7 linked regions of the Mus musculus genome follow. The protein of the gene in region 3 binds, or shares a complex with, the protein of the main gene of each other region. Links are inferred from orthologs where the notes say so. Each region holds a gene or a part of one and is shown on either strand. Other genes may lie near its edges. The genes, in order: Usp39, Dhx16, Snrpg, Scnm1, Prpf3, Sf3b5 and Strap.

The links.
Region 1: Snrpg (region 3) and Usp39 share a complex: the UniProt entries of both Homo sapiens proteins name them as parts of the U4/U6-U5 tri-snRNP complex. The link is inferred for Mus musculus from reciprocal best matches to the Homo sapiens genes SNRPG and USP39.
Region 2: Snrpg (region 3) and Dhx16 share a complex: the UniProt entries of both Homo sapiens proteins name them as parts of the minor spliceosome. The link is inferred for Mus musculus from reciprocal best matches to the Homo sapiens genes SNRPG and DHX16.
Region 4: Snrpg (region 3) and Scnm1 share a complex: the UniProt entries of both Homo sapiens proteins name them as parts of the minor spliceosome. The link is inferred for Mus musculus from reciprocal best matches to the Homo sapiens genes SNRPG and SCNM1.
Region 5: Snrpg (region 3) and Prpf3 share a complex: the UniProt entries of both Homo sapiens proteins name them as parts of the U4/U6-U5 tri-snRNP complex. The link is inferred for Mus musculus from reciprocal best matches to the Homo sapiens genes SNRPG and PRPF3.
Region 6: Snrpg (region 3) and Sf3b5 share a complex: the UniProt entries of both Homo sapiens proteins name them as parts of the minor spliceosome. The link is inferred for Mus musculus from reciprocal best matches to the Homo sapiens genes SNRPG and SF3B5.
Region 7: Snrpg (region 3) and Strap share a complex: the UniProt entries of both Homo sapiens proteins name them as parts of the SMN-Sm complex. The link is inferred for Mus musculus from reciprocal best matches to the Homo sapiens genes SNRPG and STRAP.

What each region holds. Positions count from the first base shown.
Region 1 is NC_000072.6:72,342,376-72,346,574, reverse strand, and holds the start of Usp39 (U4/U6.U5 tri-snRNP-associated protein 2), read left to right. Parts: upstream 1-1,399; 5' UTR 1,400-1,425; coding exon 1,426-1,690; intron 1,691-3,606; coding exon 3,607-3,676; intron 3,677-4,199.
Region 2 is NC_000083.6:35,886,278-35,889,777, reverse strand, and holds part of Dhx16 (pre-mRNA-splicing factor ATP-dependent RNA helicase DHX16), read right to left. Parts: intron 2,380-3,500; coding exon 2,239-2,379; intron 1,944-2,238; coding exon 1,781-1,943; intron 1,695-1,780; coding exon 1,576-1,694; exon of another isoform or gene 1,547-1,575; intron 1,424-1,546; coding exon 1,356-1,423; intron 581-1,355; coding exon 418-580; intron 340-417; coding exon 178-339; intron 1-177. UniProt on the Homo sapiens protein: Required for pre-mRNA splicing as a component of the spliceosome. Contributes to pre-mRNA splicing after spliceosome formation and prior to the first transesterification reaction.
Region 3 is NC_000072.6:86,370,327-86,374,339, reverse strand, and holds the start of Snrpg (small nuclear ribonucleoprotein G), read right to left. Parts: upstream 2,801-4,013; 5' UTR 2,758-2,800; coding exon 2,726-2,757; intron 1-2,725. UniProt on the Homo sapiens protein: Plays a role in pre-mRNA splicing as a core component of the spliceosomal U1, U2, U4 and U5 small nuclear ribonucleoproteins (snRNPs), the building blocks of the spliceosome.
Region 4 is NC_000069.6:95,131,213-95,135,470, reverse strand, and holds the start of Scnm1 (sodium channel modifier 1), read left to right. Parts: upstream 1-1,458; 5' UTR 1,459-1,575; coding exon 1,576-1,626; intron 1,627-1,842; coding exon 1,843-1,913; intron 1,914-2,182; coding exon 2,183-2,271; intron 2,272-2,359; coding exon 2,360-2,454; intron 2,455-2,557; coding exon 2,558-2,646; intron 2,647-3,444; coding exon of another isoform or gene 3,445-3,484; exon of another isoform or gene 3,485-3,665; intron 3,666-4,258. Other genes in the region: Lysmd1 (lysM and putative peptidoglycan-binding domain-containing protein 1), read right to left, coding at 475-654. UniProt on the Homo sapiens protein: As a component of the minor spliceosome, involved in the splicing of U12-type introns in pre-mRNAs. Plays a role in the regulation of primary cilia length and Hedgehog signaling.
Region 5 is NC_000069.6:95,831,886-95,835,385, forward strand, and holds part of Prpf3 (U4/U6 small nuclear ribonucleoprotein Prp3), read right to left. Parts: coding exon 3,469-3,500; intron 2,318-3,468; coding exon 2,199-2,317; intron 1,952-2,198; coding exon 1,868-1,951; intron 738-1,867; coding exon 676-737; intron 1-675. UniProt on the Homo sapiens protein: Plays a role in pre-mRNA splicing as component of the U4/U6-U5 tri-snRNP complex that is involved in spliceosome assembly, and as component of the precatalytic spliceosome (spliceosome B complex).
Region 6 is NC_000076.6:13,007,242-13,009,683, reverse strand, and holds Sf3b5 (splicing factor 3B subunit 5), read right to left. Parts: upstream 1,235-2,442; 5' UTR 1,062-1,234; coding exon 801-1,061; 3' UTR 501-800; downstream 1-500. UniProt on the Homo sapiens protein: Component of the 17S U2 SnRNP complex of the spliceosome, a large ribonucleoprotein complex that removes introns from transcribed pre-mRNAs.
Region 7 is NC_000072.6:137,748,582-137,752,081, reverse strand, and holds the end of Strap (serine-threonine kinase receptor-associated protein), read right to left. Parts: intron 3,396-3,500; coding exon 3,246-3,395; intron 2,719-3,245; coding exon 2,653-2,718; intron 1,532-2,652; coding exon 1,470-1,531; 3' UTR 152-1,469; downstream 1-151. UniProt on the Homo sapiens protein: The SMN complex catalyzes the assembly of small nuclear ribonucleoproteins (snRNPs), the building blocks of the spliceosome, and thereby plays an important role in the splicing of cellular pre-mRNAs.

The sequences.
Region 1 (4,199 bases), about 14 Mb from region 3:
GTCTGTATTCTCTACCTGTTCCTTTGAGATAGGGCCTCTCACTTAACCTGTAATTCAGCTGACAGCCACCAAGCCCTAGTGGTCCTCCTGTCTCCATTTCCCACATGGCTAGGACTATAGGCATGAGCCCACTGTCAGCTTTTTCCACGGGTGCTGGAGTTTTGGACTCATGCTTGGACAGTAAGCTTTCTCACCAATTGAGCCAATCTCCTCCGTTTGTTTGCTTATTAGTGGACATACTAAAAACATCTGTCTCTGATAGGCAATGAGGCAGACAAGTGCTCACGTAGGTAAGTTTTCCCCACCCATACCCAGTCCCTATTTCAGCCACATTGGAGCTGCACTGCTGGTGTCCAGACCACTTGCTTAACTGACCATGAGAGGAACCAAGGCTTTTGAGGGTCTAATAGTGCATAGCCTTCTCTTGTTTCTTTCCTTCTGGCATGTAGCCTAGGATAGTCTTGAATTAACTATGTAGCTCAGTTGGCCTTAAACTTTGGGATTTGTTTTGCCTGATCCTGAGAGTATAGCTTTCCAAGTTTTCAGTTTAAAATGTAAACATCAGAAACTTATTAGAGCAGTGACAGAATCAAGTGCATCTGCTTGATGGAATTGTTATATTGAAAGTAAAGGAACAGACTGCCTTACCCTAGACGTGAATGAGACCTGGTCAGAAAGAGGAAACACCGACTCATACTTGAACATAAAATTCTAGGAAATGTAGTCACTATTGTGGTTTGGGTGGGATTCCACGTGGGCACAGGACATTTCTGGGGTGAGACAAGTTTCTTCTCTTGAATCTGTAAGTGTTCATACATCGCAATTTAGCAAATTAGACACATCAAACGTGTACTATCTTGTATATCAATTATACTTCGATGGAACTGTTCAAATAGGCAGGGACTAAGGCATGACTCAGTGGTAAGGCTGAATTTGAAGTTTTATTAGCTAAACAATAAATGCGCCTTAGCAGAGTATTTGCAAACTCATTTCAAGAGCCCTTTAAATATGATACTAATTGAAGTTCCCAGGTACAAGCCTGAATGAAGGAGTTAATTTGGGAATACTGACTCCTTTTCCTGTGTAGGTCATCAGTCCCTGATCAGGGGACATCTCTGGATCGTCGTTTCGAGACACAAATTGTCCTGAAGCTATCTCGGGTGGAGTGCTAGCTTCCTTTTCCCTAAAATGAAAGTAGCCTGTGAAAGGTTCCTATTTAAGCCGTGAAGAGATGTTGGACAAGGACACAATATGTTCGAAACTATCTCGGTTGGGCCAGCAGCGCTTATAACGTTTTATAAGCCTGTATTGTCCCTCACAGCGACTCGTAGCGCGCTGCGTTTCTATGAGGCCATCTCGACTTCTGATTGGCTGCTTGCTGCCCGTGCTCGGCGCCGGCGCGGAAGCTCCTAACTGGTGGTGGCGATGTCTAGCCGGTCCAAGCGGCAGTCCCATGGTTCCACCCGCGGGAAGCGTGAGTCCGAGTCTCGTGGCAGCTCGGGTCGCATCAAGAAGGAGCGAGACCGTGAGAAGGAGCCCGAGGCGGCGAGCTCCCGGGGTAGCCCGGTCCGCGTGAAGCGGGAGGCCGAGCCGGCTGCGCGAGAGGTCCCGGCGCCCGCGCTCCCGGTCGTGCGGGTGAAGCGTGAGCGCGAGGCCGATGAAGACTCGGAGCCCGAGCGGGAGGTGCGAGGTGCGCGGGGCCGGGCCGGGCGCGTCCTCTTCCTTCGCCTGCTTTCTTCTTTCTCCTCCTATATTTTTAAAGACGGGTCTCAGGAACTTGAAGTTGTAACCAGAGATGGCCTTAGACTCTTGCTTCCCCTTCTTGAAGTCTGAGATGCCCAGTTTTTGTCTGCTTTTTACTTTTCCTTTCTTCTGCCTCCCTGACCAGGCTTGAATCCAGCAGGCTGGATTGCCTGTCATAATACATCACAGCATCTCCCTATTCACGTATAGCCTACGTGGGTCAGGTGCTCTACTGACGACTGTACAGATGGACCCTTCTCCGTTCCCCCCCACCCCCCACAAATTCCTAAGAGTCAGAGTCATGTTGTAATTTTTGGAATAAGACCATTAGTTGAGTCCCAGTGCACTCAACTCAAGTATTGACTTTGTACTAGTTGAATAGTTTGGAGACACTAATGCTTCTCCTGGGTTTTGCATGGGGGTTGTTCCATGTTGTCTTGTAAAGGATGCTGATGTAATGACCAGCCTTGGGAGACAGATAGTATTATTCCATAGAGCAATAGGTAGGGAGTAAGGTCACAAGAAGATATAATCTTCTTTAAGGGCAGGGATCTTCTGTAAGGCAACCCACTATGAGCACTGGTTCTTTTTCTATTCTATTATGGGACTTAACTCTAGGATCTGGCAAAGATGTCATATAATAGGGTACTGTTATTGCTGTAGTAGACTCTTTGTTTTAGTCTGTGATCATGTGGCTTCTGTCAGCATCCATGAAGCTGTGTCAAGCTAACACATTAGGGTTAACTTTAGTTAGAGTTAACACATTAGGATTAACTCTCAGAACCAATACAGTTCTTGTACTAATAGTAGATTTAAGGATATTCAGCTTATCTTAGTACTTGTGATATATTTCATGATACTTTTCCTGCCCATTTGATATTTATTTATTTATTTATTTGCTTATTTAGGCAGGCTCTTACTAAGTAGCCCTGGCTGTCTTGGAACTTTGTCGGTAGGCCTCAAACTCAGAGATTTCACCTAGCCTACTCACTCAAGGGCTAGGATTAATGTACACCACCAATGCCTGGCATTTATTTATGTGTATGCATGTACCATGGTGTATGTGTGGAAGTCAGTGGGCAACTTGTGGGAGTCCGTTTTCTCTCCTAGCCTGTGTGTCACAGGGATTGAACTCAGATAGTTGGGTTGCTGGTAAGCACCTTTACTAAGCCATCTCACTTGCCTGGATTCCTTTATGTAATATATAAATTAATCTTTCATTGGTTATATATGTAATAGACCTACTCTTAGTTTGCAACTTATTTCATTAGTGGCCTTTTTTTGAATGTTGTCACTAAAGGAAATGGAAAAGCTCATCTTTTTGAGATGTGTGTGTGTGTGGTCCCTGGCTGTCCTAGAACCTAACCTAACTGATCAAACTCTCCCAATCTTAGTGATCAAATGTTCCCATTTCGGTGATTTTGTTTTGTTTTGTGTTTGCTTGTTTTGTGCCTGTGATTTGAGGAGAGCCTCCAGTCCTCCATTTATGATGCTGGAGCAGATCTTGGCTGTGCTAGTTAAGTGTTCTACCACTGAGCAGATCTTGCCTGTGCTAGTTAAGTGTTCTACCACTGAGCAGATCTTGGCTGTGCTAGTTAAGTGTTCTACCACTGAGCAGATCTTGGCTGTGCTAGTTAAGTGTTCTACCACTGAGCAGATCTTGGCTGTGCTAGTTAAGTGTTCTACCACTGAGCAGATCTTGCCTGTGCTAGTTAAGTGTTCTACCACTGAGCAGATCTTGCCTGTGCTAGTTAAGTGTTCTACCACTGAGCAGATCTTGCCTGTGCTAGTTAAGTGTTCTACCACTGAGTTACTTTCCAGCACAAGTTTCCCATTTAACAGCCTGTATGGATTTCTTCTCAGCAAAGAATGGCCGAGTGGATTCTGAAGACCGGAGGAGTCGTCACTGCCCGTACTTGGATACCATTAATAGGTCAGTAATATAGAAAGGCTGAGGGCAAGACTTGGTGATGTATCTCAGTAGTAGAGCAGTTGCCTGGCATGTCATAAGCCCAAGGTTTAATCACCAATACTATGCAAACAAACAAAATCAGTGGATTTTTAAAAATTTACTTTTATTTTATGTATGTTGGTATTTTGCCTGCATTTATGTCTGTGTGAGAGTGTCAGATCCCCTGGAGCTGCATGGATGTCTGTGGGAGTACCGCATCCCCTGGAACTGGAGTTACGGATAGTTGTGAACTCTCACGTGGGTGCTAGGAATTGAACAACTGGAAGAGCAGCCAGTGCTCTTAACTGCTAAGCCATCTCTCCAGCCCCATCAGAAGATTTTGAGATGCAGAATACAGTAGAAAATTCTCTAAACAGAGCATTGAAGCATTCTAACTCTCCTCCTTTTATGCCTGTCTGCCTAGAAAATTGTGCTTCTCACCATGCTCAGCCATGTTGTCCCTTTATAGTGGCAGAGTGCGCTTTTTGTTTTGTTTTGTTTTTTG
Region 2 (3,500 bases), on a different chromosome or scaffold from region 3:
ACCTTTAAACCCAAAACATGGGAAGCAGAGGCAGGTGGATCTCTGAGTTTAAGGTCAGTTTGGCCTTCAGAGTGAGTTCCAGGACAACCAGGGCTGCACAGACAAACCCTGACTTGAAAAAAAAAAAAGAAGAGCAAATAGGAGAAAAAAGAAAATAACAACATCAAAAACACTGACCTTTCTCACACGAACGTAGTCACCTTGGCAAGAAGTCAAGCCAACTTCCACACGCTCCAAGAGCCCCTCCAGTTGTTCCCGCACATCCCGGGCTCGGCGCATGGATCTGAACTGTACAAAGTTTTCATAGCACCATTGGGAAGAGTAGCCACTCTCAGCCCACTGTGAAGATGAAGTGCCTTAAGTACACAGCAGGACTCAAATCCCCCAGACTTCCCAAATTTCCACTTGCCCAGTGACCTGTGTGTACACATTTAGCAGAACCAGGTGGTCTCCACCAGGGAGGAAGAAGTTGACACGGGCATTGTCGGCATGGACAACCTTATCCTTGGGCCGGTAGAAGATGGAATTGTTGACAGACAGCATAGCAGCCACGGTCAGGATCTCTTCTGAACAGCTATACCTTGAGCGGGGTAGGAAGAGGATAAAGCCAAAGAGAAACCGCAAAAACCAACTGAGAGCAGACACAGATCCTGATCCCAAACACAGCAGGGGAACATCTTCTTCTTTTCTAAGACTTACTGTGTGTGTATAAAAGTTTTGCCTGCGTGTATGTCTATGTGCCACACGCCCAAGGAAGTGAGAACTGGAGTAACAGATGGTTGTGAGCCACCATGTGGCTGTTGGGAATTGAACTTGGATCCACTGCAAGAGCAACTAGTGTTTTTAACCACTGAGCCATCGCCCATCCCGGATGTTGTTTAAAGGCAGTCCCATACAGACCTAAGAATCAAGTTTTAGAAGCTGCAGCCTTCCCAGCACCCATCACACACACAAGGGCTTCTGCTTCCACCCATGCTCCTGGGTTTTACTTTATTAATTGGTTTGTTTTCTGAGGCAGGGTCTTACTATGTAGCCCTGGCTGGCCTAGACCTCAGGGATCTGCCTGCCTCTGCCTCTGTGCCTCTCTCTCTGCCTCTCTGCCTCTGCCATGACTGCTTGTCTCTGGGTTGTAGCTGCACTATCCATTGTGCCCACCAACAATCACTGTAAGGTACAGGACAGTGATTCACATGGGCCTCATAAGGGATGGTAAGACTTCTTAAACAATTTTTATTAAAACCAAACAAACAAAAACAGTAACAGCATGATAAAGAGTCAAGGAGAGAGAGAGGATACTTGAGACTGAGGAAGCATGGCCAGTTTGTGCCAGGAACTGGCTGGGTGGGAGGACTTACTTCTCGGAGGCCAAGATCATTTTAGACAACATGGGATCCACAGGCAGCTCTGCCATCTTTCGACCAGACTAAAAAGAAGAGGGAAAGGTGAGGCCGGTTTCTCTCAGGTTCCTTCCACCAGTACAGGAGGCCTTGGCACACACACCCCCTCCCCCAGGGGTCCCTGGGGCCATCAGATGTCTCCTACATACTGTCCCAGCCTGTGCTGCCGCTGGCTCACCGTGGTGAGTTCTCCAAGGTGGTTGAGGGCGCCAAGGGCATAAAGCTGCTCCAAAGCCAGCAGCAGGGTCTCGTATGGAGGAGGGTCCAGGAAGTCAAAGTGCATCAGGTCATGGATCCCTGGGGAAAGGAATAAAGAATGAGAGAGTGCGGCACAGGTCCCCGGCATTCCAGTGCCCGATCAAGGACTTGGGCAGCCCGATCACCTAAGCTCTTTAGCAGCAGCACAACGTTGCCCAGGCTTGTCCTCTGGATCTCAGGAACTGTGGTCTCCTCTAGCTCATGCTGATAGGCCCAGGCCGTATACAGGCGGAAGCACTTCCCGGCAGCCACTCGACCTGCACGGCCAGCCCGCTGATTGGCTGAAGCCTAGAAAGAAAGGAGAGGCCACACACACACACGCGCACACACACACACACACACACACACACACACACACACGCGCGCACACACACACACACACACACGCACACACACACACACACACACACACACACACACACGCACGCACACACGCACACACACACACACACACGCCTGGTCAGTGTTAACTCAGAAGTATGGTAAGTGATAATCCCCATCCTCAAGCGCTACTTGGGAAGCAAGCTTTCTCCGGGGGCCGGGGGGGGGGGGGGGGGCGGTATGTGTCCCCCTCTGGGCTGACCTTGCTGCAGGGGGTGACCGTGAGTGACTCCATTCCCGTACGAGGGTTGTAGCTCTTCTGCTTGCAGAACCCTGGGTCCAGCACATAGATGATGCCTTCGATGGTGAGGGAAGTTTCTGCAATGTTTGTTGCCACAACCACCTAAGTGAGAGGATAGCGTCACCCGGGGACCCAGCCCACCTGGACAGCCTGAGAAAGCACGATATAGGGAGAGTAGGGCACAGGGAGGCAGTGTCCACGTCAGGAGATGAGGTGACAGGCAGGCAGGGCTGGCAGTCAGCAGGGGCACAATAAAGAAACAACACTGAATTCAGGACTGCATGTCCGCATCTATCTGTCCTCATTCGTCACTTCTGACAGCAGCCTCCTCGCTCCCCTTCCTGCTTCTGTCACATAGCATGCAGAGTGCTCCCTTTAAAACATGTAAACCTATCAATTCACACCCAGGTCCAACCACAGAACTCCGTCTATGCCGTTTAGACCCTGGACTACCTCACCCCTAGCTGCATGTCTGATCACAGCTCACACCCTGTGCTCATCCCAGCCCTCCCTCCAAGTGCTCATCCTTCTGTGAGATGCTCTGCAGGAGCAGTCCTCCCTCCTCCTTCCTCTACTCTACCCTGCCGTTTATGGGGCAGCCTCCCACCACTAGAAAAAGTCTGCTCCTCCTCTCCTCAGACTTCCCGTGCTGCCCGAATCTCTTCAGTGTACTCAATACACACGGAGGCAGCTTTACACGCCCAGCCTCCTCCCATCAGACTGTAAGTCCTACCGTGCACATGATGGATCCTCCCTCGGCCCTCTCCCCGTGCAGCGTGTACTGGGCCTCCCCATGCTGGGTAAGGGCCTGACCACTCAAGCCCCAGCTCCAGACCCTCAATATATAGTTGTTCAGTGAGAGTCTTATCTCTAAAATCTTTTGGTTGCCATTTGCCTGTCTAAAGTCTGAACGCTACAACAGCTCTGTCCTGGCCTTTGGCTGACTCAGCTTTGTCTGCAGCATCCGAAACTCCTAAACTCACTCCTCTCGGACTTCAAACACACCTCAGCTTTCCTCTAGGACTTCCCTAGCCATTTTTCTCAACGGTCCAATATTAAGTATGTCCTGGCATACACTGAACTTAAAGCTTGCATCTCTCAGCTAATATTTATTTCATCTCTCTCCAGCTGGCAGGCCAGGGCCTGGTTGCTCCTCAGCTGTGTCCAAATAGCCAGGCAAACAACTTGGGACAAAGGGTACAGCACATGCCTTGGTTGTGTGT
Region 3 (4,013 bases):
TTTAAGACAGTGTTTCTTAGCTACCCTGGTTTTGTAGTTCTTTGCCTCAGCTTCTCAAGTAGCAGACATTACATGCCTATGCCACCAGGCTGAGCTTCATTGAATTGTTTTTTGTTTTGTTTTGTTTGTTTTGGTTTTTTTTTTGAGACAGGATTTCTCTGTATAGCCCTGGCTGTCCTGGAACTCACTCTGTAGACCAGGCTGGCCTCAAACTCAGAAATCCACCTGACTCTGCCTCCCAAGTGCTGGGACTAAAGGCGTGCACCACCACTGCTCGGCTGCTTCACTGAGTTTTAATGTATAGACCATGATAGAATTTAAATATAAATTTAAGCCATAAGAATCTGAAGGTGGAAATAGATTTATAAATAACATTTATAAATTACTAGGAGTTATTTTGTAAATCAACAGAGGAACATATTTAACACTTACGATTCCGGTACTATTATTACCATGTTATACAGATGGAGAACTGACATTCAGTGTGGAGGTTGAATGAGAATGGCCTCCATGGAGTCACTTATGTGCATGTTTAGTTCGCAGCTGATTAAGTGTTTGGGAGGATTAGGAGGTGTGGCCTTGTTGGAGGAGGTGGCACTGGGAGTGAGTGGGCTTTGAGGTTTCAAAAGCCAGCCTAGTGTCTCTCTGCCCTGCCTGCTGCTGCGGTTCAGCATGTAACGCTCTCAACTACTGCCTGCCTGTTCTTCCATGATGATCATGGCCTCTAAAACTGTACGCAAGTCCCCATCAAATGCTTTCTTTATTATAAGAGTTGTCTTGGTCACGATGCCTCTATACAGCAAGAGGTCAGTAACTGAGACACTAATGTGCAGAAAATTGTTTTTAGTCATATACCATGCAAAATATGGCTGCTGGACTGCAGATGGGGTGGGGCTTCAAAGCTGGGTTAGGAAGTCTGGACTTGACTTTGTGGTGATATAAACTAGTATAGCAGAATTCATCAGTGGTTAAGACTTTCTGTGGCAACACATTTTAGGAGTTGGGAGGAGCTCAACTTTGAAACTACTGAGACACGGGACCAGAAATGATTAAGAACTATGGAGTTATGCTAAACTAGGAGTGAATAGCTGTAAAAGGAGGTGTTTATGAGAAAATAAGGAGGCGGATCTAAAAGTATTTCAAATTTGATAAAATGTAGGGATGAGAAAAAGGCATCAACTCAGAGAAGAGAAGTTCAGTGACAAAGTAGCTCACACAGGCTCTGCTCCAAACACGCCAATAAAAATATGGACACAATCACTAGTTCCAGTCTCTGAAAGGCCCAAGTATATCTGTTAAGAATCAGAGGACACTGAAGATTACAGGTAGGGAACAGTGCTTTTGTTCAAAACCAATGCCATTTTGCCAATTCCTGCTAAATCCAGACCTCATTTATTAGCTCATCATCAAAACAAACAGTGCAGAATAACTTCTTTTTAAAATGTCAGACTTATGGCTTAATACATCTTTATTATGTTGTGTTCTGCCTATAGGCCTGCAAGCCAGAATAGGGTACCAGATCCTATTACAGATGGTTGTGAGTCACCATGTGGTTGCTGGGAATTGAACTCAGGACCTCTAGGAAGAGAAGTCAGTGCTCTCAACCTCTGAGCCAACTCTCTAGGCCCGGTTTAACAGATTCAGATTCAAACAAAACTGCAGGGGTTTCACACAGAGGGCTTTGATTAAAATGTGCACTCAAATACAAAAATCAGCAAATGTTGTTATCTTTCCCCTGCATTGGGGTCTTGACAGAACTTTACAGTAGCAAACAGGCTATACACAAGACAGATTATTTTCTGGCTACACCAGAAAAGACCCAGTATTAATCTTGTATTGAGCAACCCAATGACTATGTGCATATGCGACAGGTTCAGGCCAGTCAGAAGTGTCTGAGACCAAAGGGTCTGTCTGATTTTACTGGGTACAGAATAAAATTCTTCAGAAATTAGCTCTTTACAAGTAGAAAATGGATGTCCTTCCATGGATTTATTGCCAGAGCAAGATATTACACAACGTTTAAATGTAACTTGAATACAAGGACAGTGTATCAGAAACCTAGTTCTTGGGGCTGCAGATGGCCCAGCGCTTATTGCTTGTCCAGAGGACACGAGTCCAGCTATTATTAACCACGCCAGAGGGCTCACAACCTCCTACAAGTTCTGTTTCTGCAGATCCAATGCCCGCTTTGGCCTCCGCAGGAGCTGCACCCACGTGCACAAACATATAACTAAACATGTCTCTGAGCACCAAAAAGGGGAAAAAAAAACCCCAAAACTAAACCTAGCTCTCTTGATGAACGCAAATGAACGCGCACATTTATTGAAACACAAAACGCTACCTCACCTTAAACTTTTTGAGACACAGTGTCTTTTTTTTTTTTAAGCCTAGGCTGGTCTGGAACTCGCGGTAATTCTCCTGCCTAAGCTTCCTGAATATTGGCCCCATAGATCACAGCCAATCACGTCCGACTCCAATCGATCATTTTAAGCCCACGAGTCTCCGGTTCCTCACAACCATGCACCTCGACCGCTGCCCTGGTCCCCAACCAGGTTGCCTTTGGCTGCCCGCCTAGGAGAGCCCCAGCTTTGGGAAGACAGAGGCACCGGCACTGCAGTAACCATGCCGACCGGACCTTAGCGCCACTTCCGGCTCCCGCGACCGTCGGGACCAGCGGCGGCAGCCCGAGCGAGACAGAAGTCTCGATAGGGCCGACTCTACTCACTTCTTCAGCTCGGGAGGGTGGGCTTTGCTCATGGCGACTCCTCTGCGGGCTCGGCACAACGGCGAAGGAGTGAGCAGGCTCAGAAACGCGCGCAAGGCAGGCTTGGCGCTGGTGTCTGACGTCACCGCCGCGCGAGCCAATCGCCTTCGGAGAACATTACCTTTCATCTCGCGATATTGATGGGGATGTCTGAACCTGCGGACCAGAGCCACGCTTCCGGTTGCGTCGCCAGTGACAGGCCACGACGGAGAGGCTGTGTTCGGCTAAGCTTCCTTTGTGTAAAATTGAAGTGGCAGGTCACTTTAAAAACAGACCCCTTCATTTATATTTTATGTATGAGTGCTCTACATGTACACCTGCGCGCCAGGGGAGGACCTCAGATCCTACTATAGATGCTTGTGAGCCACCATGTGGGTGCTGGAATTGAACTCCAGAGCTCTGGGAGAACAGCCAGTGGTTTTAACTGCTGAAGCGTCTCTCCAGCCTGTGTGTCACTTCTTTTCTTTCCTTTTCCCACTTACTACACTTTTTTTCTCTTTACATTTTTGTCATTTCCCCTGCCCCTTCCTCATTGTTTTTGACGTAATTCATGCTGGCTTCGAGTTCACTGTGTAGTCAACGCTGGCTTTGAACTGTTGCTTCCCGTGCTAGAATCAACGGCATCTGCACCACGCTGCCCTTAATTTCCTAAGCACATCCAGGCGAAGCCGAGGGCTCCTGAAGCACAGAATAGCTTGTCCGCATCAGTAGCAGGAAGGTGGCTAGGCGGATTCTCTTGAGGACGTGAATCCAGTGTCTGGGGTATTTCTGATTCATCAATTCTGCAATTCTAACGCTGCCTTCAGAACCCACTTAGCACACTACAGTCCATACATAAAAGCTGAGGAGTACCACACAAGTCCTGAGGTATTGAGCTTGCCCCTGCCTCCTGAGGGCTGGGAATAAAGGTGTGCACTCTCCCAGGGTGGTGGCACTGCCCTCAGTGCACTGGGCTCTCTCATGGTAGTCATTAATGACCCACAGACATGTCCAGAGACCTGTTAGATGGAAGCAGCTCTTCAATTGAGGTTCTCCTCATGATTAGTTTGTCATCAACAAAAAAATAGCACAAGAATGCTTAGCTATACACTCTCCCCACCACTTGCTGTGCTAGTTGAAACTAGAAAACGAACATGAATAATGATAGTCTTTAGCAAAGACTGACCTCAAAGCAGGAGGGAAATCCTCAGCTTGCCTTACAGTACTGAAATTACAGTATGCACCTTTTACAATTTAGTTATAATATGTA
Region 4 (4,258 bases), on a different chromosome or scaffold from region 3:
TCTGCACAAAGAAAACAGAGCCTTGGGGTGGAAATAAGAACTACAAATGGGCACCTTCAGAGTGCTAGTAAAAGTCAGCTCTTCCTTACCAGTCTCTACATCCCCACCCCCACCCCTACCCCACCCCCGCATGGCTAATAGTACCGGCTTTAGAGTCAGACAGAAACCTTACTCTGACACTTAAGTGATTCGACCTTGATCAAACTGGTTTATCAGTCTTAAGTTGATAGGGACACAAGTCCAGTTAATGGCTGTAAGCCCCGCCCCCACTCACCCACCTCCCTCACCATCTACAGGAGTTGCTCCTCCCACTGGGATAGTTGGGCAGATCTGTCCCAACAGTGCTCTGCTGAGATGTGAAAGCAAAATAAGGAAGAAAAAAAACAGACCATAATAGAATTTAAATAATGTGAGAGGGGGCATCTTAGCGGGCCACCCACTTTCTCGGGACTATCTCAATTCTGGAAGACTCACCGTTACCCCGTATTTGAGTGCTAATCCAGCCAGGGTGTCTCCAGGCTCCAATTGATGCTCCAGGCGTCTTTCCCTCACTGGGGAGCAGGATGATTGTACCAGGCTTCCATAAGAACGAGCACGGCTCCCATGCAGCAGCCCTGACCCCCCGAGGGGAGGCTGTCTAGAGGGAGAAGCCATCTCCTCACTGTCAAGACCTAGGGTCACAACTGAGGGAAGCCCAGCTAAGTAACAGTGACGGCCGAACCCAAGGAATGGATATTCAGATAATTCGTTTTCTCTTCTCTCGTCTCTCTACAGTCTCCCGACTCTCGAGAGACTACATTCGTCGTCCTCCTCTTGCTGCTTCTTGCCGTGCCTGGAGTTACTGTCCGTCTCTTAAGAAGTCTGCCAGGCCGGTTACATTTCTCTTTCCACGAGCTCCTTACCCATAAGTATCTTCCCTGAGCTGTCAGTCGCTGACCCGGTTGACTTTCGACGCCCCCTCCCCAACTCCTCGCAAGCCTGATCTCTGACCTTTGAACCCTAGACACCCTCATCAACACTCTTCCCTCAGTGTATCCCCACATCCAACAGTCGGGATGCCGGGTGCTCCCACATCCTCTCTGTTCCAAATAAGGCCCACCCCAGGTAGGTTGTGGCTGAGGAGTACGAGCCTGAGGACAGCAAGAGTTTGTAGTATATAGTCCACTGAGATCCCTGACGCCTCGCTCCACATCAGGAAGGTCCCACCCTGAAATTCCGGCTCCACATACAGGATCTTGAGTCTCCGAACACCTGGATCCTTCGAGATGTGAGGTCCTGTGTCCAGGTGAGCAGTGTGCTCTTCAAAAAAATAAAAAAATAAAATAAATAACCAAAAGACTTCATTTCCCAAAAGGCACAGCGTCTCAAAGTATTGTAGGAAATGCAGGCCCCCTCAGGGCGCTGGAGGCGGGTCTTCCGGTTCGCGCGACGCAAGCGTGGAACATCATCCCCGGAAGTACAGATTCAACAAGAAAGAAACCGGAAGCAGAGAAGGCGATAGTGTACTCTTTCTACGGTGGCCTAAAGGAGCAGCGAAGTAGGCGTAGGGGAATTTATCGTAGTCTCACAGTCGCTATGTCTTTTAAGAGGGAAGGGGACGACTGGAGTCAACTCAATGTGCTCAAAGTAAGCCTTAGTGAGAGTCTGATCACCTTCAGCCGCCCTGTTGTTTTGTTTTGTTGCTCTGGCGACATCTAGGGGAGGGCTTAGGGGACCAGAACTGAGTGGTGACCCCTACTACCCTATGATCTGCATAGCCCCGTGTGCCATTTGACTCCTTATCCATACTATTTCATTTCCATCCGTCCCTCTTACTCATTTCTCCTATCCTGCTCCCTGCAGAAACGGAGAGTTGGGGACCTGCTGGCTAGTTACATCCCTGAGGACGAGGCACTGATGCTGCGGGATGGACGGTGAGAGCGAAGAGTGGATCAAGCCTGGGGATTCGGGGATCAAAGGCTCAACAAACTTTTGTCACTAAGGAGTTCAGGAGTATAATAGGACTCTTTGGCTGGAAGTGAAGTGTAAGGGGTGGAGATCGGGAAACCTGGGAGTTGGTGGTGGAGTACTCTGACAGAAGTAGGACCTACTCACCATAGCAAGAACACCCCGACTGCAGGCTCTCGAACACACAACATACACACCACACACCACACACATCATTCACTTCTCGTTTCCCTAGCTTTGCTTGTGCCATCTGCCCCCATCGACCAGTACTAGACACGCTGGCCATGTTGACAGCCCACCGTGCAGGCAAGAAGCATTTGTCCAGTAAGTATCAGAGAAGTGGGGAGGGCGGGAGATGGAGAGCAAGCCACCAGGCATTGTGCTTTTCATTCCTCCTTGCTTTTGTTCTCAGGTCTGAAGCTTTTCTATGGCAAAAAGCAAACAGGCAAGGGAACAGAGCAAAATCCAAGACAGCAGAACGAATTGAAGACAGAAAGCAAAACTGAGGTGAGAGGGCATCAGGTGTGGTTTAGACAGGGCTATACTTCACACAACAGGCTTGAGGGAACGTTTGCTCCTAACAGCTCTAACTCTGTCTCTTCATCACCAGGCTCCTTTGCTAACCCAGACTCGAATCATCACCCAGAATGCTCTACACAGAGCTCCCCACTATAACAGTTGCTGCCGGAGGAAGCACAGGTCCGTGGAATGGGAAAGCCAGGAGTGGAAAAGGGTAGAAGGAAATAGATGACTTTAAAGTTATTGCTCTCCAGATTGTATTCTGAGAAATAATAATCTTGTGGAAATATTTTTTTTAAATGATGGTAGGGGCTGGACAGATGGCTCAGCAGTTAAGAGCACTGACTGCTCTTCCAGAGGTCCTGAGTTCAATTCCCAGCAACCACATGATGGTTCACAACCATCCATAATGAGATCTGGCGCCCTCTTCTGGGGTGTCTGAAGACAGCTACAGTGTACTCATATATATAAAAGAAATCGTAAACCATCATTTTTTCAGGTTTTTTGTTTTTTGGGTTTTTTGTTTGTTTGTTTTTTGAGACAGGGTTTCTCTGTGTAGCCCTGGCTGTCCTGGAACTCACTCTGTAGACCAGGCTAGCCTCAGAAATCTGCTTACCTCTGCCTCCCAAGTGCTGGGATTAAAGGCGTGCACCACCACTGCCCGGTGGTTTATGATTTTAAAATAAATTTTTTAGCAAGTGGAAAATTGTAGAATAATCATACTTATTAGGAACATTAGGGCTTGGTGAGATGCCTCAGTGGTTAGGAACGCAGGGGGCTCTTCCAGAAGTCCTGAGTTCAATTCTTAGCAACCACATGGTGGCTCACAACCATCCAAAAGGGATCTCTTCTGGCATGTAGGTACACATGCAGACAGAGCACTCCTATATTTTAAAAAGTGCAATAAATAAATACATTCAAAAAGAGAGAATTGTAACATTAGTAGAGCACGGTGGTGTACTTTTTGTTTGTTTGTAGCCCTGGCTGTCCTGAAACCCTGCTATTTAGACCAAGGTGACCTCATATTCACAAAGATCTGCCTGCTTCTATCCCTCAAGTGTTGGGATTAAAGGTGAGCACTCCATGCCTGGCCTTGGAAAATCTTAAGACAAAAACTTAGAACCAGCCGGGCAGTGGTGGCGACGCCTTTAATCCCAGCACTTGGGAGGCAGAGGTAAGCAGACTTCTGAGTTTGAGGCCAGCCTGGTCTACAGAGTGAGCTCCAGGACAGCCAGGACTACACAGAGAAACCCTGTCTCGAAAAACCAAACCAAACCAACCAACCAACCAAACAAACAAACAAAAAACTCTTAGAACTATGTATTAGAGCATAAGGAATATGGAAAGTTACAAAACTTATGGAATATCTGTCTATATTGAGGTAATTTATTGTAATGACTTACAGTTTGTAGTCATGTTGTTGGGTTACAACAATGGGCAGCTGTGAATGAGAAGTCTAAGAATCTAATAGTTGCTCAGTCCCACAAGGCTGGTTGTTTCAGCTGGTCTTGTATAAATAGGTTCTAAAGATGTGCTTGGCAAGTAAGTGCAAGCAGTGGAAGAAGAGTGAGTCTTCCTTCTTCCAGTGGTCTTATGTAGGCCTCCAGCAGAAGGTGTGGCCTACATTAAGGCGTGTACACCACACCTGGATCTGGGACTTGCTTTGTCCCAGGCTGACTTTGAATCAGAGTTCTCCTTGCCTCCTGGGATTAAAGGCATGTTATACCTTGCCTGGACCTAAGCTTTTCACAGCCACTGTGCCTCAAGATCTCCATGCCAAGATCCAGATCAG
Region 5 (3,500 bases), on a different chromosome or scaffold from region 3:
TACTGCTCTTAGAGAGGACCCCGGTTTGGTTCTAAGCACCCACATAGTGACTCACAACTATCTGTACCAGTTCTGAGAGATCTGACACCCTCTTCTGGCTTCCATGAGGCATGTATGTGATGTAGATATACATATATATGCAAGCAAAGCACTCATACACAAAAATAAATCTTTTAAAATTTAAATAAAGAATGTGTTCATGTGAGTGCAGGCACCTGTCAAAGCCACGAGGTCATGTCCCCTGGACCTGGAGTTACAGGAGGAAAGCCCTGCCAACTGAGTAAGGGAGTTGAATTTGGGCCTGCTCTAATTTACTCTCACTACAACCAACACGCCAGGTAGATCAAATAACAGCCATATTTTATAGATAAGGCAATGAAACCTGACACCGTCTGGCTCAGGTCCTGTTCTGCTGTAAAGCCAAGGATGGAACTCGGACTCTAAAGCATTAGATAAGCACTCATCACTGGCTCCCCGGCAAGCCCGGACTCTTCCGTCTAGTGCGTGCGTTACTGTGCGTCTGAGGCCTGGGCACTACCTTCCTGCTGAGAACGTGTACTCCTACTGCCACTGTTCTCCATATGCTTCCCCACCGGCACACGCTAAAGACCAACTTCTAAAAACCACGCTAAACATCCGGCCAACTGAACTGCAGCGTTTTACAGAGACACTAACCTCCCATACTAGTACACATTTGTTAGTTTTCTTCACAGCTTCTTCATCAGATTCCTCATCATCTGGAAAAGACAAAAAAAGCTCAATATTTGGTTTGTTTTTTGAGTCAGATTCTCGCTACATAGACCAGGCTGGCCTCCAACTTAGCAGGGTCTGCCTCCCAAGTGCTGGATTAAATTTATTTACTGAGACCATCCTCCTGACTCAGCCTACTGAGAGCTGGGATTACAAGCTTCAGCAACCATGCCCCACTAAATATATCTTTTCTTTCTTTACCTGTGCCCCACACCTTGTCTGGCTCTCAGTGTGCAGGATCTTGAACATGGTAGACAAGTGCTAAACTACTAAACTTTAATGCTAGCTCCAAAGTTATCTTTCCTGTTGAGTGTGAAGCCAGCTAGGTCTATATAGTTTCAGACCAGCCAGGGCTACCCTTGTCTCAAAACAAAACCCAAAGTATTCTTTCCTGTTTAAAGTAGAAAGTTGTTGTTGATGTGAAAATCTATTTTTTATACATTCAATGGTCTTTTGAATTGGGTTGGGGTGGGGAAGTCAGAGACTGTATGTAGTCCATATCTGCTTTACATTGGCATGTGTTGGTTTCAAACCCATGATCTTTTTACTTCCACTTTCTGAGTGCTGGGGTCATGGGTGGATACTACTAGTCTGGAGTGATTAGAAAGAAATACCAACTTTTTTTGAGACTCATGTGGCCTAGGCTGCTTTAAAATTGCTCCATAGCTCAAGATGACCTCAAACTCTTAGGAGATTACAGGTGTGAACTACCGTGACGTAGCTAATAAGAAATTTAAGTAAAGAATAATACAGGTTAGATATTGTACACACGAATGCATAGTTTGCTGACTTTAAATACACTCTTGCAACCAGAACTTGAAACTAAGTCAAAGAGAAAAGCCTGCTGGGTGTATGCAGCAGTACTGTTTAAGTCAACCTAGCTGGGCAGGGGGCACACATCTTTAATCTCAGCCCTTAAAAAGTATAGGTAGGTGGATCTTATGAATTCAAGGCCAGCCAGTACCATACAGTGAGACCCTGTCTCACACAAAACAAAACATTCTGTCTAAACTTCTTGAACACAAGACTATTCCAGGAAGAATGGATGAAGAATAGACAGAACTATCACTCCACCTCCCCCAGCTCTCCCATGTAATCCCTTCTAACCCCAATTCACCATCTCCCTTCGTGTTAGATGTCTGCTCATCCCACTTTATCCGATGTAGCATGAGACGCTTAAATTTCTTCTGGGCTTTGGGGCCTGAAAAGAGAATTTTGCGAGTTGGAAAGATGACAGAGTAGGAAGAACCTCTGAGCTGAGCCCATCTACTACTCAGATAGCAATGGGAAGGGGAACGAGCCCCAGGACCAGGACAGACTTCTTCTGCAGACACACAGAATCGGAAACACAACAGCGGTCTCACAGAAATCTTCCTCCCTTCTCCCCACTGCCAATCGCTTTAGGGCTAGGGTTGTCTAGAGAGTTTCCCTCAACTCTCTGCACTCACCCCCTTCCACTACCACCACGTTGACATCTTTGTGCAGCACCACCACCCCTGTCAGGTACAGCTGCCCAGCATTGGCCTCAATCTTGAACTTCTTGGCTGGGTTGCTCAAATTTCGAACTCTGGAGGAGGGAAACTTTAGTCATGTCTTCAGTTTTATCACTAGAAGCTGCCTGAATGGAATGGCAAATACAGAGGATCTAAAATCAAGACCTCTGGAATGCAGTTATATTTTTATTCTCTTGTAAATACAGGGTCTCATCATGTAGTCTGGCTGGCCTGGAACTCACTGCATAGACCAATCTGGCCTTGAACTCGAGAGATTTGACTGCCTCTGCCTCCCTTTGCTGGTCTTATACTTCTTCACAGTAAGTAGTTAGAATCTATGAATGAAGGAGAGGTACTATCATCCAAAAAAGCTTGCAAGCCCAGTGTTCCAGAAGGTAGAAAAAGCTTTAAATCCTGCCACCTCTAGATGCCTATAGTATAGATGCCATGTATTCAAAAAAATTTCTGGAGACATCAAAAACTGTAAATAGTAGTTACCTATAGATAGTATCTTAATAGATCAGAGAATAGGAAGGGGACTCTTTCAGGAAGTGCTCCTCTATTATTATTAGAATTTGTCTTGTTTTCCAGTTTGGGATAGCCAAAAACTTGCTACGTGGTTCAGGTTAGCCATAAACTCAGAACTGTCCTGTTCCTCCTGTGTGCTGGAATTACAGGCATGCATCATCCTATCTGGTCCAAAAATTTTAATCTGAATAAACAGAAGTTTTATTATAATGTGCCACTTCTGATAAAGAACTATTTAGTAGAAATAAGTGTATCTAAAAAGTGGAATGCATATATAAACTTAACCTAGACTAAAATGAAGACATTAATAAAAAAGTAAAAATGTATTTCCTGGGTACAAATATATTCTGAAGTGTGGATGAAAGGCCTATTACTACAGATCCTCAGGATAAAGACAAGGTAATAAAGAAAAAAATTACTGCTTTCTAGAGAAATGAAGTAGTTACCACAAAAGAATAAGGTATACTTGAAGGCCACAGTGATTTTGTCCTAAGGACTGGGAAGATAATGAGAATGTAGGTGCAAGGAGGGCATAATGGGCCGCACCTTTAATCCGAGAACCAGGGAGGCAGAGGCAGTGGATCTCTAGGTTTGAGGCCAGCCTGGTCTACTTAGTGAGTTCCAGGATAGCTGAGACTAGGTAGAGAAACACTGTCTCAAAAAAGAAACAGAGACAGCTGTCAATGTGGACACCTACCTATACACAGATATGTGCACCCCCTGTGAAAT
Region 6 (2,442 bases), on a different chromosome or scaffold from region 3:
TCTTGATTCCTTAAAATCTGTTCTCAAATGACATCTCAGTAAAGTAGCATTGTAAGCATGGTTTTTAAAGTTGTAAACTCTTCAAGCTGGCATAATGTATGCCCTCAAACCTTTGGAAAATGCTCTGGTGAAAAGGGAAGAGGGGTGGGGGGAATGGGGCGCTGAGCAGGATGGGGACGTGATACCACTTGTTTGCCAGTTTATCATTTCTGAAGACACAAAGGGTAATCATCAAGAAAAAGGGGTAAGGGGTAGCGCATAAAGGGAAGGGTAGGAAAGGGATATGGGCAATCTCCGCGCTTCAAGGTTTCTTTGGGACCAGACACACTGTACGCGTGAAGACTATTGAGGTGGGATAATATCATAAAAGTGTGTGTGACGACTTAAGGACTTGCCCTGTGCTTCTGCCCCCATTTCCTATTTATACTCTCACAAAACCTTGATCCACAGAACCCTCTCCTAATAACCTCCCAAAGAACACAGCAATCCATACCAAAGAATAGAGCAAACCCTAAACTTTATATATATATGGTTTTTTAAAAAGGCAAGAAGACATCAACTATCGAAAAGCAGACTCGAAATGCGCATCACTCTCGTGCAGTCTTCTCCCTCGCTTGCCGATGCTGGGATCACTCCTTCTGCACAGTTCACAAGGAGCGGACCCGGACAGTCTCTCCATGACTTGTTCCGAATCCTCCACAGGTACGCAGGTCAGGCGACACAGCCAACACGGAATGGTCGAGATGCAGGAGCAAGGAGGCTCGCAGCCGGCACACGGGGAAGACTGGGCAGCGCTCACCTCAGTTCTCCTCGGGCTTGTCCGCGGGCGGCCCGCTGGGCTGCAGCATTTTCTCCATCAGGTTGAACCGCACGCGGGCTTTGCTCTCGTTCTCGGCAATGGCGAAGTAGTTGAGGAGGTCGAAGTGGCCCATGTAGGAGCAGTAGGAGTCGCGGTGCTGGTTCACCAGCCATTCCCACTTGGTGGTGTCGGCGTGGCCCGTGCCGATGTACTTGGACTGCAGATGCTCCAGCTGGCTGTGGATGGTGTACCGGTCCGTCATCGCGCCGCTCTGCTCGTAGGCTCCGAGGTCAGGACACAGACGAGAAGCTGCCGCTCGCGGCGTTCAAGTGAGAGACGCTGCCGCTGCCGGTGCCGCCGCCGCCACGCAAAACCTCAGTTCGTGCAGGCGCGGGAGAAAGACGCCACCGAGACGCAGGAGTAGACAGTCTTTTCCTAGGCGGAAGCGGAAGTGCCGTCTGTCGCGGGATTGGAGTTGCCTAGGAAACACTGGGCCGTCTCCTCACGGAGCCCGCCTACTTCGAAGAGTGTTGCATGATGGTCCGCTTAGTGGCTCTCGGGTGATCACGTTCTAGTCTGAGCGTTGCATTCTGGAACAAGTAGTCCAAAGAGTTTGTTTTAGGGTTTTGTTTTGTTTGTTTTGTTTTTGCCTGGCTGCTGTAGGACGATGGCAAACGGCCTCTGAGAGTTATCCCACGGCTCTGGGCTACTAAGAAGGGGAAATCCAAGAGGGTTTCAACTACAAGCAACCAGGAAAATTAACTCTTGTACCTAGAAGCTAACGTGGCAGCATGGTTCCCCCGCGGTCCCAGCTTTGTCTCTTAGAATTTGGGCACTGGGAAAAGTATTTTTGGTGATCAGTGTCAGCCCCAGTAGTCTCACTAATGGCTCCCACAACGAGCTCCAGGCTCCCGTTTCTCAACCCATTGAGGGGTTGTTTGCTCTAGGTCACTCAAAAGCTATTCCTTGAAGTCAGATGTGGTTCAAGACTAGATAGATAGATAGATAGATAGATAGATAGATAGATAGATAGATAGATAGATAGATAGATAGATAGATAGATAGATAGAAAGAACACCTCTCTTTCTAGTCACCTGTGTTTTTCTGCTGATTACTGCCTTACGTTGGGGGTTGTGCACTTTCTCACGTTACAAACAACTCAGAAAAGATAATTGTACTTCTTTTATGGTATCCCTTAAGGATACATGTATAGCCTGATGTAGATTGTACTCTCAAAAAACCATTTTAGGAATGGGGTAAGAGCAGTCACAGCCAAAGAGAATGGACAATGACAGACAATTTGAAAATACAGGAGTTTGGGGGTACTTTTGTTTACTTGGTGGGGGGAGGATCTGGCCCTGAGCTCACAGCAATCCTCCTGCCTTTGCCTCCTGAATGCTGGGATTAGAGGTGAGTTCCGCTCCATCCAATATTAATTCTTCTGTTTAAATTTTGTCATAATAAGCATCATGCCAGGTGGTGGTGGCACACACCTTTAATTCCACCACTTGGGAGGCAGAGGCAGGCAGATCTCTGAGTTCAGGGGCAGCCTGGTCTACAGAGCTAGTTTCAGGACAGCCAGGGCTACAAGGAGAAACTCTGTCTCAAAAAAAAATAAAACCAACCAACACCAAGACTTAGAC
Region 7 (3,500 bases), about 51 Mb from region 3:
TGCTCAAGTGAGCCTTGTTTCAGCCTCAGGACACTGCGATCTGTTACCAAGCATGCTGGTTCAGGCTACAAACGTGCTGCAGCAATAGGAAAGCAATGGCACAAAATAAGAAATGCCCTTAATTTATCAACTTCAGGAATCCAAGCGACTTCCATTACAAAAGATGCACTCAATTTTATTTAGGGTCAGACTCTCAGTCTAATCTTGATACATGAACAATACTGCTACAGAGCAGAAAACCAAGCATGTTAAACATGGACAGGGGAACACCACTGCCTGAGGCTCATCAATGCCTGTGACGGGCTTCCCTGGCTCTCCCAGGAACCGCCTGTAGTGCCGCCAACTTCTAGTCACAAACTAGTCGAGACTTTTCTGATCAAAGTACTAAAGGCCACTCAGAAGATAAATTACCAGAAAGCAAATTAATACAAGCTGTTCATCTGTATTTCCAAATTACTAACTTAATCTCTTCACATTGTAAAATAAGTAAATAAACTACAAATTTATTATCCAATTTATTAAAGGTTGACTTTTTGAATGACCCAAGTTTAAATATGAGAAAGTTTGGTATATCATAAATACTGAAAATTAATGATTAACCCAGTTTCATTAAATCATGTGGTTATTTGTACAACCGAGCAGATGTTAGACTACGTACAGCAGTTTTTCAGAATATTTTCAGAACTGAGATTTCAACTTGTTTACTTGCTCTTCCTAAGTGTTTTTCTGTTTTAGTAACTAACATGCATGTTTAAAGAGACAAGAGAAGCAATTGTATCCATCCAGAAGGAAATAAATGAACACACAACAAAAGATATGAAAATTTCAAGTTTAAATAATTCAATTTCAAATTTAGGAAATGTTTAGTTCAGACTCTATAACCAAACTGTCTTTGCTCTGGCTGGCTGTGTATGATATAGAAAACTTTGAATAGTTAGTTTTAGTATTCAAATGTATCAGAATTTCCAAAAAAAGAGAAAAATTATTATTTTAGAGGCATTTTATTTAGATAACTAAAAATATGAGCTGTTCTGAAGCAGTCCTTGTACAATGAAAGAGATCAAACCGGTTACTTTATCATGTATTTCCTCCTCTTCATCACTAGGCAAGGACAAAAAGGCATTCTTCTTTAAGGGAAAGTCAGAAAAATAGGCCAATATATTTTTCTTCTTCATAACATAAACAGCTAAAAGAAATTTAGGTGTAAAATGGAGATTGTAAGTTGGCTTTTCATTCCAAACAGCAGGCTATGGCACTATGTGAGCACAATCCTCCTGCCTGCACCTCAGACACTCAGCCATTTTCACTCACGGGCAACACTGAGTAGCTGTTCGTGCACTGGAGCTAACTCATATGCCCCAATATTTTCTGCCCTCTTTGCCTCAGGCAGACAGTAACTCTGAAGGCGGATGCTTGTCTCTGCTTGTTTAGTCCATGAACATATGGTTTCGGCAGCACACGTCTGATGCTCAGGCCTTAACTTCAGGAGTTGATGAATAGATGGAATCTGAATTCTCTGAAGCAATTTCTTCTGCATTTAAAAGATAAAATCATAGTCAATTTAATAAAGAGAAGAAGAAAATCTACATTTCTGTACAAGGAAGAAATGACAAGGTCTTTTCAAATATGCTGAGGTGAGGAGGAGAGAACAGACAGCTACTAAACATGGCCTTATCCCAGGACTCCAAACACCCAAGCAGAGCTCAAGCCATTTCACCAATTGTTTAACCCCACCCCTCTCCCTTCAGGATAAGCTTTCACTGACTCCAACTACCCAATCAGCATTTCATTAAATCACGCTTTTTTGGGTCCTGTAGTAATCAAATACTAGTATAAGGCCATGCAGTTCAAAACCTTAACCATTAAACACTGCTTCCCGGGAGGCAGGCTCTAATAGTATCAAAAGCAGGGGTGATCGCCTCTTCCCATCTTACCGCCAAGCTACAAACAAGCAATGACCAATCTACCAATCTCACCATTATGCAAAGACAAGCCCACCTTCCTTCTGTTCTCGGTGTCTGTCCCATAGCTACTAACCTAGAATCTACTGTCCCTAGTCTAATTCTTTCTCCACACTACACACCAAGGCACTTTCCTAAATGTACATCTAGTCCTCCACTTAGATCAAAGGTTTCGTTCTCCTAGTTTATGAAACGCTTAAGGCTGTAACAGAGCAAACCAGATACTGGCTGGTCTAGCCTCTCTCCTCTCACTTTGCCCTTACTCTTGAGGCTGGACAGTGGCATTCTCCATGCTGGTTCCCTTGCTTCTCTTCTGCTTTCTGCTAAGCCCTCCTGCCCATCACCCACAGCGCATCCTCAGAACCTCAGCAGCCAGCCTGCCATCCTGAGTCTACTCCCACATAAATGTCCGTTGTGCAGGAAGGGCTCTCGACCTCACGTCATGGTTAGAAACTGTCTAGGGAGCTTTTAGACCCTGTCCCTGAGTGTATGCGAGGAGACCCATCAGTCATGTCCACGTGCACGAGGCCTGGACTCCAGAGCTAATGCTTACGCACTCGCGCTTAAGCTTCCTATAACGTATTTCGACTGTGTACATTTATTAAATTTCTTTTGCCATGGACCAAAACGTTCATACACTGAATTTTTACATACCCAGGGCTCTTAGAAAAGTTAATTAATTTTTATTTACCCAGCTCTTCCTCTGCTGTTTCTGGAAATCCGATCTTTGGCTTTGCCAGTTCCCCGCTGTCTTCCTCTGTGAAGAGACAAGCAGTGGTGACTGACCATGAAGGAGGGCAGGTTCCCACCAACACACACAGCACACGTCCTCTTAACAGTCACTGTGATTCTAAAAGACATCTCAAAGTCACCTTTAGTACAACAGCCACTCTGGGATCAATAATAAGTATTTGGGATTTTTGTTTTGTTTGTTGGTTTTTTAAACCAAAAACATGTTTTCAGTGGTAAGGATCAAGTAATACTATAAACAATTAGATGGATAACTTTTAAATTCTTCATACTGCCTTCTACCAAGCTTTATTTCTTTTTGTATGGATGCTCTTGAAACCACCGGGCCATCTCCCTAGCTACTTTGTAATAAATGTTGAATTCAGGTCATTCAATTCATCACATAAAGGACACTGCTCAGTTAGAATCATGACTTCATTCTGCTTATACCATATTACATAATTCAAAATCTAAAGGAGACAAACACAGTGAAACAGAATAAATGATACAAAATGTATGCATTATAATTTGATAACTTTGAAGAGACATCCTTACCAGGAAGCACGCATTTCCACAGGCCATAGGTCTTTCCTACCACAGTTTGCCACAATCTCAATGTCCCATCTTCAGAACCGCTGGCATAGAGTTCCCCATCAGGACTGAATCTCACACAGTGAATGGGACCAAAGTGACCTTTGTAGGATTCTGAAAACAGTGAAGAACAGGGATATCAGACTTAATAAATGTAAAGCTACTGGGGTAGACACTGATGTACTACAAAAGACACTGTCTATTCTGCTGGGAAGATCA